Macaca fascicularis: one gene and its partner. The protein of the gene in region 1 purifies or fractionates together with the protein of each later gene. This does not show direct contact. Links are inferred from orthologs where the notes say so. Each region holds a gene or a part of one and is shown on either strand. Other genes may lie near its edges.

Region 1 (3,819 bases):
AGATAAATGATCTGGCATTAATTGGCTGTGTCATCTGGGTCATGTCCCTTCCTATTTCTGGGTGTCAGTTATCCCATCTGAAAAATAAGGACTCATGTTTTCACCAGTTTAACAGTTCCCAAGAGGGAATAATACTGCTGACACTGTGGTTACATAGGAGAATGTCATTATTTCTAGGAGGTGTACATTGAAATATTTAGACATGAAGTATATGATGTCTTTATCTTAAAGTAGGTCAGTCAGAACAATTTGTGTATGTGTGTATATGTCTAAAACATATCATTTATATAAAGATAACCCAATATGGTGAAATATTAATTACTGATTCTGGGGGTGCACACATTTATTTTCCTCTTCTTTCAGTTGTTCTGTAAAGTTGAGAAAAGATGAATCTTAAAGTCAGCTGATTAAAAAAAGAAAAAACAAAAGGCCACAATGTGGATTATGTCCTCACACTCTGCATACTTCTCCAATCCACCATGTATAGACACAAGTCTCCCCTGATCATGAACCAACAGGTGACACTCTGTGTACACATCTCTTTATCAAACGCCAGGCCGTGTGGCTAGATGGTCATGCGCACTAAATGTTTAGAAAGCAATGTGGCTGATGGGGATGCGTAGTGACTTTGAAGCAAGGCAGACTTCAGCTGAAATTGTGGCTCTTACCATTTCTTAGCTGAGTATTCCAAATACTTATTCTACCTCTCCTCCGCTTTTCTTACCTGTAAAACTTACCTTACAGAGATATTAAGGTAGGAAAAACAAATTGTACATTTTTCCTAACATACCTCATTTTCCTCATGTTACCTTAAATTAATTCAGCCTTCAAATGAAAAATGGAGGCTGGGCGCAGTGGCTCACACCTAGAATCCCAGCACTTTGGGAGGCAGAGGTGGGCGGATCATAAGGTCGGAGATCGAGACCAGCCTGGCCAACGTGATGAAACCCCATCTCTACTAAAAATACAAAAAAAAAAAATAGCCAGGCATGGTGGCGGGCGCCTGTAGTCCCAGCTACTTGGGAGGCTGAGGCAGGAGAATGGTGTGAACCCGGGAGGTGGAGCTTGCAGTGAGCGGAGATCGCACCACTGCACTCCAGCCTGGGTGACAGAGTGAGACTCCGTCTCAAAAAAAAAAAAAAAAAGAAAAACGGACTGTGAAAGTCCATGGACATGTGAAACTTGAATCTTTCAAGTTTACACAGCACCCTATAAACACCACCTGAGGCTACTCTTGAGGTCAGTAATAGCATCACTATGCTCTTCCTGTGAGAGGATCTTGGGGCTCTCCGGCTACTCTACTCCTCACACAATGGCCTATGATTAGGCATCTCTGGGCAGGTAGCCTTGTAACCTTCAGGCTGAGAAGATATCTTCCCAAAGATCAGACAATGACACCGGTTAATCTGAAGTAAAAAGGAATAAAAGTAGAGTCCAGGTCAACTACTCCACTGAAAACAGATACCCAAAGACAGAAAGGGATTCCTTACCAAGGGCTTCCAAGCGTTCCATTTGCTCTTCTCTCCATTTACGGATACTTTCAGGCTCTGACTGCAATCGATCCACTTGTGAAATAGCTGCGTAACTGTCTGTTGGACCATTACTTTCCTTAACACAAAACACAATTGTCCTATATTAATACCAAAAATTCCTTCCTAAAATGCACTTCACCTGAGTTAGAACCCCTGGTTCTTTTTTTTTTTTTTTGAGACAGAGTTTTCACTCTTCTCGCCCAAGTTGGAGTGCAGTGCAGTGGCACTATCTTGGCTCATTGCAACCTCCGCCTCCCAGGTTCAAGCAATTCTCCTGCCTCCACCTCCTCCCAAGTAGCTGAGATTACAGGCGCCCGTCACCACGCACAGCTTATTTTTGTATTTTTAGTAGAGATGGGGTTTCATCACGTTGGCCAGGCTGGTCTTGAACTCCTAACCTCAGGTTATCTGCCCACCTTGGCCTCCCAAAGTGCTGGGATTACAGGCGTGAGCCACCACACCCGGCCAGAGCCACCACAAGCAACCAGTCAGAACCCCTGTTTCTAACAACAATGGTGGCTGCTGTAAAATGTTAAAGGATTACCTTAAAAGCAACAACATAGGCCAGGCACGGTGGCTCACGCCTGTAATTCCAGCACTTTGGGAGGCTGGGGTGGGTGGATCATTTGAGGTCAGGAGTTCCAGACCAGCCTGGCCAACATAGTGAAACCTGTCTCTACTAAAAATACAAAATGAACCAGGTGGTAGTGGCGTGTGCCTGTAATCCCAGCTACTGGGGAGACTGAGGCAGGAGGAGAATTTGCTAGAACCTGGGGAATGGAGGTTGCAGTGAGCCAAGACTGCACCACTGCACTCCAGTTTGGGTGACAGAGTGAGACCCTGTCCCACCCCCCCAAACCCCCCCCCCCAAAAAAAGGCAACCACATAGAACAGGTGCAGTGGCTCACGCCTGTAATCCCAACACTTTGGGAGGCCGAGGTGGGCGGATCACTTCAGCCTAGGAGTTCAAGACCAGCCTGGCCAACATGGTGAAACCCCATCTCTACTAAAAATACAAAAAATTAGCCAGGCGTGGTGGCGTGCACCTGTAATTCTAGCTACTCAGGAGGCTGAGGTGGACGAATCGCTTGAACCCAGGAGATGGAAGTTGCAAATGAGATGAGATCGTGCCACTGCACTCCAGCCTGGGCAACAGAGACTGTCTCAAAAAAAAAAAAAAAAAAAGACTCAAATAAATGTTAATCTTTACAGAACTATTCCATGTGCCACTCACTGAACTAAGGAACATTACCAGGTTAACCTAATCAGACTATAAACAAAGATGGAAGAAGAACTATTTAAAGTATTAGTACTAACTTACTGCACTTAACACAGTGTCATTTGAAGAGTAGTTTCTTTAGAATAAAGGTGGTAACACTAGGGGCAGGTAAATAACATTTTAAAACAGTTCTCTTTTTATCAATGCTACCTCTCTTTAAATCTTTCCACTTTGGTAGATAACATACCAGCCAGTAATACATCCAGGAAAGTCAAAGGACTGGGGTTTCTTTCTAGGTCAATTAAAATCACAGGAAAGGAAAACTCTCAATCACTATCAATGAATAGAATCAGAGTACTCTGTACCTGGTAGTATTCACCATTCATTACTCCATCAACAGCATCTGCAAGACATAAGGTTTTGGTCTATCAATAAAGACTGGTCAAACACTGGGCCAAAGGGTTGTACAGCAGAATACAGCATTATATGCTGTATGAACCTTGAGCTACTAAATGCTATTCCTGTGGTAGGTGCTATATACAACAAAATAATAAAACCAAGATGTGCTTATATACAAACTTCACCAAAATGTGGACACATCTGTCCTCAAGCTCCCAAGTCCAAAACCTTTTGATTTTGTTTTCTGTTTTCTATTTTACAGTGGTAACAAATGGAAGACTGGCAGAAGAGTCTCAGAGAACAGTGTTTCTCTATGAAAGTTCTGCAGAAGAAAAAAAAAGTGTGGCCTGGAATCACCCATAGTGAGCAGAGACCTGCAGCTTCATCTTTGAGATAGTCTTGCTCTGTCGCCCAGGCTGGAGCACAGTGGCCCAATCATGGCTTACTGTAGTCTCGACCTTTTTTGGGCTCAAGTGATCCTCCCACCTCAGTCCCCACGGGAGCTGGGATTACAGGCATGCGCCACCACGCCTGGCTAATTTTTCTGTTTTGTAGGGAGGGGATTTCGCCACGCTGCCCAGGCTGCTCTCGAATTCCTGGACTCAAGCGATCCACCCACCTCGGTCTCCCAAATTGTTGGATTACAGGCATGAGCCACCATGCCTGGCC
Region 2 (2,727 bases), on another chromosome or scaffold:
CCAGCCCGCCCCAAGCGGGCCGGGAAACTGAGGCCGGGGCGGGGCGCGCCGAGGCAGGCGTAGGGGCGGGGCCAAAGCGCAGCCAATGGCCGAGTCTCTGGGCGACCGCGAGCGGCGGGGCGGGGGCGGGGGCGGGGCTGCGGGAGGCGGGGCTGCGAGAAGCGGAGCCGTGGCCCAGCCCCGAGCTATGGGTCAAGGTGCACAGTATGCCGCTCCGCAGGGAAGCGGGCCTCGGGTCTGCGCGACTGGCGAGAGCAGCGGGATCCCCGGGGATCCCGGAGGCCAGGGGCATACCCTCCCCGAAAACACGTGGGGCTAGCCCAGTTCCTGAGGAACTCTAACGTTTCGAAGCTGGAGGAGGAAGGCGGGTGGCCAGTGAGAAGGGGCTACGCCGCCGGGTCCCCCTCCCGCAGCGGCCACGGGCTGGGACTCACCTGCCGGTTTCCACCCACACCTTTCCCGGATTTAGAGTTCCTGCATTCAGCGAACAAGGTCCGGAAAGACCCCAAATGCAAGCGGCTGTATTCTCCTAGGCAGCTTCTCTGGGCGCAGGTCCCACACCCCCAGAGGGCCCAGCAAATCTTTAATGGACTGCGGGGCCTAGGAAACTGGCCCCTGTCCCTCCCACCCACACCAGCACCAAGCAGAGCACCTTTGCCTGGATAAACCGACTTTAATATTTCAGATTGCCAGGAGGCTCAGAGTCCTGTTATGAGGTCCGGTACCTCCAAACAAGACGTGTTCACGTAGTCTTCAAACTGGCCTGGAGGGGGCAGCTCCAGCCAGTCGGGGGCGCCCAGGAGGAATCCCTGGCTCCAGCAGGAGGGCCCAGAGTCCAGACCCTGCTGGCGGCTGAAGATGGTCTTGCGCTGTCAGCCTCTACCCTGGCCTCCCCAGGCTCTAGGATGGCTCAGAGGTTGCCATCATTGGGTTTCACCAAAAATAAATATTGTCCAGGTGTCCCTGCCTCCCACTGCGGTCCCCTGTGCTGCTGGAGTGACACACTCCTTGGAGAAGTTAGTAACTCTGCAGGTAGAGTGGGTGGAGACAGCGCCCACTACACGCAGAAGTTGTACATTGGAGGCTGGTGAAGTTGGGAGCACAGGCATATCCATAGGGGAAGCTGGCAGGGCCTGCTATCAACCTCAGCTGCTGGCCTGCAGAGGGGGAAAGCCCACAATGAGCAGAGCTCTTCCTGCCCATGGGGGTCCTCTCCTGGCTACCCTGAGTAGCTGGGGCCCAGGAAGCAGGGTCTATAGGACCAGCCCTTACCACCCAGAAGCTGAGGCACCGAGAGAGTAGGCACCCAGAGGCAAGGAGTGTGTGGTCAGCCAGAGAAGCTGGCCTGGCTAGAGGATAAGCTAGTCCCCAAATGGGACACTTACTTAGTGCAATCAGCTGGGTCTCATTCATGCCCATCAAAATCTAAAAAAACCAGAATGGCATTAATGGTGGAGGGACACACTCAGCAGGAGGCTTGAGACCCACCAGCATGCTACACACTCACACCACATCCTCAGGCCTGCGTTGACCCAGCAGTGTCCCAGCACCCCACAGTCTCTCCAGTCTGCTCGACAGCCAGGCTGCCCTGGGCAGGTTCTCAGGTGCAAAGTTCCTCCCAGCACACACCAGCAACAGCCTTGCTGCCCAGGGGCCAGGCCCAGCAGGACACAGCAGCAGTTCACAGCTAGGCAGGCAGCCCCATCGGAAGGCAGGCACCCTTACAGCAGGGAGGACAGTGGCCATGCCAACATTCCTGGACGTACACATCTCCACACCCAGCAGCCAGTGGGATCCTTCCAGCCCCCACCCATCTATTCCCATCCTCATTCAAAGCCCAGCCAGGAAAGGGCAGTGGGACTTTGACTCCCTCCCTTCTCCCTCCCCAGGGGGTTGGGGGCTACAGGTGACACCTACCAAACATGAGAGGGGCCGGCTCCATCACATGCTCCTCTTGCTTGTGCAGACTCTCCAAGGCATCCAGTCTGTCCACCTGCAAGGAGGCGAGAGCATGTGAGCACCTGCTTGACAGAGTGCAGTCCCGGCCTCTAGGTGAAAGTAGAGTGGAAGGTCAGGACACAGGGCCTCCAGGAGAATGACAGTGGAGGAGGTGCACATGGGCAGAGGTGGAGTGGCTCAGTCCTCACCCCATGCACTTTTATAATGCAGCAAGGCATGGAGAGGTGAAGCCTCAGTAGCTGGGCTGAGATGGAGCAAAAGGTGGGGCCCCCAGAGCTTCCCAGTGGGGACTGGGGCAGTCAGTTGTTACAGGCTGTGAGTGTGGCCTGCTTATGGGGGGCCAAGTCCTCCTCTGGATACAGGGACACTGCCATTTACTGACTTGCAGGGCTGGGATGTGCAGGGAACACTGCCTGCTGCTGAATCCAGTCAGTCTAGTCTGCCCGCCCCTCCAAACCAGCAGAGAGATCATGTGGCTCTCAGAGACAAGTCACCTGGCACCTAGACACTTCACCTGAGAAGTACTGAGGACAAACTGCCTCCTCACTCTTCCCTGAGGCTTCACCAGACACTGACCCCACCCATGGCCAGAGAGTGAGGCGGCAGCACTGCACTGGAGGGGCGGCAGCAACTGTGCAGCTAAGATCCCCTCACAAACACACTGAGTAAGAAAGAGAAACAAGAATGTGCCCCCATGAGCTGGGGTCTGGGGGGCTGAGAAGTGAGGAGGGAGCAGGGGGCACACTCGCTGACACCTAGGGTGAGGGG

The links.
Region 2: the proteins of CLTA (region 1) and CLTCL1 purify together in Homo sapiens (co-immunoprecipitation; 3 studies listed by BioGRID and IntAct, with this or other methods). This does not show direct contact. The link is inferred for Macaca fascicularis from reciprocal best matches to the Homo sapiens genes CLTA and CLTCL1.

What each region holds. Positions count from the first base shown.
Region 1 is NC_088389.1:63,154,674-63,158,492, forward strand, and holds part of CLTA (clathrin light chain A), read right to left. Parts: intron 3,155-3,819; coding exon 3,117-3,154; intron 1,609-3,116; coding exon 1,491-1,608; intron 1-1,490. UniProt on the Homo sapiens protein: Clathrin is the major protein of the polyhedral coat of coated pits and vesicles.
Region 2 is NC_088384.1:33,663,972-33,666,698, reverse strand, and holds the end of CLTCL1 (clathrin heavy chain 2), read right to left. Parts: intron 1,994-2,727; coding exon 1,918-1,993; intron 1,426-1,917; coding exon of another isoform or gene 1,406-1,425; exon of another isoform or gene 1,386-1,405; intron 1,158-1,385; coding exon 1,018-1,157; 3' UTR 654-1,017; downstream 1-653. UniProt on the Homo sapiens protein: Clathrin is the major protein of the polyhedral coat of coated pits and vesicles. Two different adapter protein complexes link the clathrin lattice either to the plasma membrane or to the trans-Golgi network.